Coturnix japonica: one gene and its partner. The protein of the gene in region 2 purifies or fractionates together with the protein of the main gene of each other region. This does not show direct contact. Links are inferred from orthologs where the notes say so. Each region holds a gene or a part of one and is shown on either strand. Other genes may lie near its edges.

Region 1 (3,651 bases), on a different chromosome or scaffold from region 2:
AAGCAATAATTACTGGTGTTACAGGAACACAGCTGGGCAAGGTCACTGCAGTAAGCTAACAACCCTCTGCAGTATGGAACAGAAGTACCTTAGGTACATCAGAACGCATCATCTTAAAGCATTTCTGTGCGTGTAGGATTTGGATAGCAGCCCTCCTTCTGTTTGTCTCAAGGACCAAAATTAAACTTTGACTAAAGTTACCACTGATACTTAGTGAAAGGTGTCTGGTCCTATTTACAAGACTCGCAGCTGAAAAACTGATTCCTAATTTCATCGTACTAAAATAGTCTTGGGACTGGGGTGATGTCTACACCCACTGAAACCCCTCATAATGTGAATGTGAGTGGGTTTTCCCCCAGTGTGATCAGCTGCCACCAGCCAGCAGCCACAAAAAGTCCATATTCACACACCCAGAAACAGACTGTGACAGAACCTCACCTCTGGCAGCCCAGAGTCTGCAGTCACAGCAGCACGGCCTGTATCAGAAGTCACTTGACCACAACAAGGTGTCAATCCCATCTACATGAATCTGGTCAAAACGTCAAGCCTGCTAAATTCAAAGTCTAGCAATGCAACTGCAGCGTAACCCCACCCATGCAGATCCTCAAATCAGCTCCAAAAGGAACAGAAAGGAGAGAGGACACAAGGAAGCTAAGCTCCAAAACCCTTCATTCTCATTTCGTACGCTGCTTAATAACAATAATAAAAACAGCTACACAGGTCTGTAATGGAAGAATCCAGAAAGGGTCTTTGTATTTCATTTGTATGAACTGCAGTCCAGTCCAAACTGCTGCTGTGAACTTCAGCTGTTTTTTCATCTGTCTATAGGAAACTGAAACCGTGGTCACAAGTCTGCTAACAAGAAACAGGAAGCAGCCTGCTGTAGTCACACCTACAACACATTTCCACCGATGCCACAGTTCATTACCTGTACTGGCTCTGCAAGGACAAAGGCTGTCATGATAGTGAAGCCTCCTTGCTGTGAGCTTACCTGCACCTCCAGCTGATTCAGCATGTGCAGGAATGCCATACAGCAGGCTATTGTGGGAATTTCCTGATCAAATCCCTTACAGCACACTGGCACAACTGTAGCAGCAGCTGTTACTGCAGTAATCCTTTCTGTAACACTAAATGTCCAGAGCTGTGCTGGAAGGTATCATCTCACCACGTACCTTTTTGAGCTCACCTGCTTTGAAATCCAAGACAAAACATCCAACAGGTGAGCTGAGAAGTTTTAAGTTTAGATTATACTCAATAAAATTGCATATTCTTCGAGTGCAAACATCCATGCTGTCATCACCCACGTGTTCCCTCATCTAATGAGCTGGCTGCTCTCTCTGTTCCCTACCAGCACTTCTAAAAAGCCTATTCCTTGCACATAACACGAATATTTCCCCAGCAACACCCAACATTTATCTGGTGTTTATTATTTAAATTAGAAGCCCTCTGAAGGAAAAATAAGCTCTGTGTTTTTGAACTGCACTGCAGACTTGCAGCAGTATTTTAGGAAAAAATACTATGTCTATTATTAACCACTGTCAAGATACCGTCCTACAGCTCTTTACTTGGACTGCTTCAGAGCTCCTCTCTTTTGGCATATTTCTCCATAGAATCTGTTTAAACAGAAAGCTACTGCTGGACAAGGAGGCTTCAAGCTTCTAACAGGAGCTTATCGATGTGTCCTTACCTACATGAAACGCCATGAGATGGGTGGTTGGCAGGCCAGGCAGCCATACACCATATGTGTGTGTGTGTGTGTGTGTGTGTGTGTGTGTGTGTGTGTGTGTGCTGGTGTGAATGCAACAAATAACAAACCAATTGGTAACACTCGATTTTCAAGCTCCTTTCGGCTTTGTTCAGCTGCTGCAGCACATACCGCATAAAACACATTAAAAGATTTCCAAATTAATTCTGAACTTCCCAGAGACTGCTTACTTTAAAACGGAACAACAACCAACAAAACCAAACCATCTAGAGCCCAAAGAGGAAAGAAATCTCTATGCCTTTTCATCAGAAATGCATTTCCATGGTGAAGCTCCCTCATGAAATTCATTTAGGCTTGGCTTGACAAGCGTTCCCATTTACAAGAGGCAAGCACTGTGCTTCCAAAAGGACCATTTTAGGAGCAGGCAAAGAGATTTAGGAGTTCTACAAGAGCAGGTGAACTTACTTTTGATCGAGTTCTTTTCTGGTTTTTCTCACTAAATTTCTCCTTCATTTCCTCCAACAGATGCTTCAGCTCCCGCTCCTCCGACGTCCCCAGGTACTTCTGGTTAATATGAAGGTAGCAGTGCCACTTGGCTGACTCAAACCCCCAGTGGCAGGTCCTCTTGTCAGGGGATCGATGTGAATGCATCACGAAGGTCTGGGGTGAGAACATCCCATAGCACTCCAGACATTGGATACAGGGGTCATCCGGCGCAAGGTAGAACTGAGGTGCAAACAAACCCTGGCACTTGCCCAGGCACTCGTGCTCTACTTCGAAGGCACTGCCAGTCTCCTTCAGTTGGGCCAATGTGTTCTTAGCAGGGAGAAAGCTGCTGTTCTGAGGAAAAGTGCGAGGACGTAGTAAAGCATTGCATAGTCTCTGAGCGTCAGTCAGTGTAATGAGCCCGCAGGAGGGAGCATTAAATGGAAGAATCCCCAGAACCTTCAGAATATGAAGCTGGTCGGAAGTGCACCTGGAGCAGTATATGTACAGTTCATCACACACGGTATTGATCTGTTGCAAAGAAAAGTCTCGAAGAACTGAATTCAACACCTGAGGCAGGCAAAGTCTTTTTTCTCCTCCGACTTTAAAGCAAGAGATGGATTCCCCCTCCAGCACAGTCTGAGTGAGCTCTGTGGAGCTGTCGGGAGGGATGAGCAGCGGAGCAGACAGGATTTGAGGTGATGGGAGAGGCAAGAAGACGGTGGGTGACATGCTCTCCTGGGAATAGCGAGCTGAGAAAGCTGCCGGTCCACCCAGTGAGCTCTGGCTGCTCAAGTGGAATTGTGCCAACGTGTGTTTCAGACCTGGATTTAAATTCAAAGGCTCGGAGATTGAAGAACTATTTGGCTTGGCACTCTCCCCGTCAGCCTCCACAGAAGTTTCGTCATATTCGTCCAAGTTTTCCTTCTTTATTGTTGGCAGTTTATTTATTACAACTCGCACTGGGCTGTTGACGTGCATTTCTGTCATTAGTTTCTTCAGCGGGGGGCTCCCATCCTCTTGGATCCCACTCCTCTTTTGCTCTGAAACGAGCCCTAGAGGGAAATTAGTCTGCGGGCTTTCCATCGCTGAACACCAGAACTGTAATTAATGACAGTCTCGAGCGTCCATTCTCCTCCTGCTTAGACAAAAAACGACTTGAAGTCAACTCGAGTCCCACAGTCACACCCCGCTCTGCACTCCTTTAATTCTTCAGCCTCCAACAGCAAAACCTGCAGCCCATTTTGAACACAGACTAAAAACACTAAGTCTGCAGTTCTACATCCATTTGCTCAACTGTCTTTTATAAGAAAATGCCGTGATTCGTTTATGTTCTTCATACACTGCCCACAGTCACACAGCGGAGCTCCAGGAACCAACGAGGTGCTGCAGAGCGTCCATTCGTGGCCGCTTCTTTCTTTCAGAAGCAGGCGCCGCAGAAGTAAGTCTGTATTTCAGTA
Region 2 (3,651 bases):
CACTTTGACAATGTGACTCAACGACATGTAAAAGTCAACCTCACCTGCATGACCCATCTGGCTCAGCAGTTAATTGGAGCCTTTACAGAACCCAATCACATTCTGTAGAAATTCACTGCATTTTCAGTGAAACCAGAAACTTTGCCACAGGCACAAAACATGACAACGCATTATTCCCATGCACTGTTACTGGCCTTGAATCCTTATCACAGAATTGTGTAACATCTCTTGAGCTTTCAGTTTCTTTCTTTCCCACATACTCTTCTAATCCCTTCACTCATTAAGCAGGCAATGATTAGAGTTAACTATTTTGGGGTATTTACCTGTTCTGAACTTGTGTAGCTGCAAAATTGACATAGTTCTTCTTTTCAAGAAGTTTGGCCAACAGGTTCTCAATTGCACCCTTCTGGTTCTGGAAAGCTTCTTCTAGAAACTGATACCTTTTCAACATACAGAAGAAGATCCCAATTAACAAGGACCGATAAGGATCCCCAGTTCAGATGTAAAGCTACAGTGACCATCAAAATTTTGATAATATGATAGATACAATAAAAATACAGAAACAAATGGGATCTTACATACATATACATACACATACACACGCATGCACAGTTAAATTTACTATTAAAACCCTCTGTAGATGTCCAGAGGACTGTATGTGTATGAGTCCCTCAGTTCCAGCTACACAGGGAGACAATGCACCACATCATTTCACAAGACAACAGTCTACGGAACCCAGCTAAGTGACACCATTCAGAGTCTGACAAATGATTGTGTTAACACTAGATGAGGAAAATGCAGTAGTGGTTTGTTATATTGTTAATTGTCATTAAACAACAGCCAACCGTTTATGAATTGTTAATCTGTTAGCATCAAGCACAAACAGGAATGAAAAGGAACTAGAAGAGATTAGTTAAGATATCCTTGGAAAACAGGCTTTCTTGAGAAGAGTGCATTTCAGAACATTTATGATCAAGCCTATGACAGAATGCAGCAGGAACACAAGGTTCATATTCTAGTAGTGGTAATATAAAAAATGAAAGTTCTCCAGGCTGCTCTTACAATCTATGACATTAATTACTGCACTGGAAAAAGAAACTAACAGAAAAACTAAATTCATACTTCCAAGCACCTTCATAGAGAAGTATTACTGGTAGACTAACTTGCTGGTAAACATGTATTTTTATCCCCAGATTCTCTATTATAATACTGCAAAGTGCTTTTTCAAACCTATGAGCAACGATATGACCAAGATGCTGAAAAGGAAGAAGTCTGAACATCTCTTAAAGAGACTCATCACACAGCTCAGCTGATGGATCACCTGAAGTTTCCAGCACCACATACATGCTCTCCTTTGTGAGGAATTATGTCTGATGGAGAGTTAGGGCAGCAGGTCAAACAGACACAACTGTTTGAAATCAGTCGTATTTCTTCCTCTGAGACAGCGCACCACAGGAGGTAAGACATGGTAATATTTGTACCTGTGTTCTTTGTGCTCCAGTAACTGACAGTCTCTGCATGTCAGCCTGTCACATGTTTCACAGAAAAGTTTTAACTGCTCTTGTTTGTGGACAGGACAGAAAACAGGACGTTGACCAGATGCTCCCACGGCCTCTGTTTTTAAAAATAAACCATTTTTGCATTTTAACATAAATTTAAGACAATCTGAAGTGCAAAACTACTCCCTTCCACGCTAAGCAAGTAAGAACCAAGAATTCAAAGACAGCAAAAGAACTGCTCTTACCCTGAAATAACCACAAATACATTCTTATGACAATAGTTACAGTGCCAGCGTTCTGTAGCTGCCCCCACTTTTCTTGTATTCAAAATGAAGGAGGAATTTCTCTCTCCACCAAAACCACTCAAAAGACACTGCAAGGACTGCTGGTACACACTTGCATTTCACACTCATGTTAATAGATGAAATCAAGATAGACTGAACTTCTCAAGCTTTTACACTGTCAGAAACTTACAGATCTTCTAAATTATCACTCCAAAATCTTTATAAACTCATTAAGTCATGCCCAACTGAAGTGGTAAATGCAGAGCTAACATTCTTATGGGTCATAAAATTACTTAAGTCCCAGCTAAGCTAGAGAACTTTTCCACTTAAACACAAAGATACTGTTGAAAACACTTCTGGATTTACTAAAAAGGTGTTGTAAAGCTTTTTTGAGCTTGGCACAGAGGAAAGCAGCTTCTGGAAGGTACAGCAGGTAAAGCTTAAAACAAGTAAACGCATCGTAGTCCCCAAAATTTCTGAAGGTTGTTACGACATGCAAGTTATGGTAAAGAAAAAGAGCTCATGAATTGAAAGCTGACACAGCTATGTCCCTGCCATATGGACTTGCCATCAGACTCCACCTTCATAAAGTACATTACTGGAACAGTCATTTCGGGGCACCCCCCACTCAGTGTACATGGGGTTATATTATCACCCTGATGGCCACAGCAGTCCTAATGAAAAACATTACCAATCCTCTGCAGAGTCCTCTCATCTGACTTAACATTAATTGGTAAGTGCTTACTAGGGTTAATGCATTTAAAGTCAAATAATCTTAAAAGTCTACTTGATATAGCAAGCAAAACAAGATCATTGTCCACAGGAACTAAGCTTAGCAGTAATAGTTTTTAACCACTAATAAGATTTTGCCAAAACCAATGGCAGAAAGCAATGCAGCGTCACTACTCTGCAATAGCGCAACAGAGCAATCATGAAGATTTTAACTTATTTTAGATGGAAAAAAACAGCAAATCTGAACCTAACCCCTTTATACAGGGAGAGTTATATCTACCTGCTCTGGGAATGCTTGCCCCATTACTTCAGTAGACTGCAAACAACACTGTCAATCAGTAGCTGAGTAATTAACCTTTCCTAATGAAGCTGCATGTTTAAATTGCACATTCACAATGCACATTCATTTTTGCTAACCAGGAAATAAAACCTAAGAATGAATTCAAATTCCAATTGACTCAGCAACATCAACGCAGCTGTAAGACTATACTGAGCATGACTGTAAGCTTATCTGTATACACAGGCAGGACTAAACGATATCCAAACACTCACCTGACGATACATCCTCTTTTTTTCTAATCATGTGATCTTTAGTAAATTTCACTCGCTGATGAGCTTCTATGCAGGTCTTGCACAACCACTCCCCACACTCGACACAAAACCCAACAGCACTAGCATTATCTTCACAGCTTGTGCACACCTGCAAAGGGAAGAAAGGTCAGCTGCCATCACTTTCCTGGAAAGCATTAACATACACAGGGAAAAGAAACCAGCATGGGAATCCCAGCAAGCAGAAAAGCACCGTACCTGTTCTGATTTCTCATCAGAGCTGCTTGGTGTTTCTGATGTGTCTTTTACAAAGTAGTTATCCACCAGATCTATCTGCCTGCATTCTTGGCGGCATATCGGACATCTGATTACCCCAACTGAAAAACACAAAACGTTTCTTAGTTATAGGAAAAACAAACACAAAATCCTCGTGCTCATTTCAGCCATCGCCAACGCAGCCCACAGCGTTCTTTTAGTTTCCCCAGGTCTGCAACATGGGGAGTAAAAAAGCACCCCAAGGTAAAACAGACACAGAAGTCAGTCAGAAAGGGTATGACTGGAGTGAACTGAGGAGGAAAAGCAACCTC

Evidence for each region.
Region 1: the proteins of TRIM33 (region 2) and SKIL purify together in Homo sapiens (affinity purification with western blotting; 4 studies listed by BioGRID and IntAct, with this or other methods). This does not show direct contact. The link is inferred for Coturnix japonica from reciprocal best matches to the Homo sapiens genes TRIM33 and SKIL.

What each region holds. Positions count from the first base shown.
Region 1 is NC_029524.1:17,517,072-17,520,722, forward strand, and holds part of SKIL (ski-like protein), read right to left. Parts: 5' UTR 3,278-3,651; coding exon 2,171-3,277; intron 1-2,170. UniProt on the Homo sapiens protein: May have regulatory role in cell division or differentiation in response to extracellular signals.
Region 2 is NC_029541.1:3,871,160-3,874,810, forward strand, and holds part of TRIM33 (E3 ubiquitin-protein ligase TRIM33), read right to left. Parts: intron 3,442-3,651; coding exon 3,323-3,441; intron 3,216-3,322; coding exon 3,068-3,215; intron 1,615-3,067; coding exon 1,482-1,614; intron 441-1,481; coding exon 324-440; intron 1-323. UniProt on the Homo sapiens protein: Acts as an E3 ubiquitin-protein ligase. Promotes SMAD4 ubiquitination, nuclear exclusion and degradation via the ubiquitin proteasome pathway. According to PubMed:16751102, does not promote a decrease in the level of endogenous SMAD4.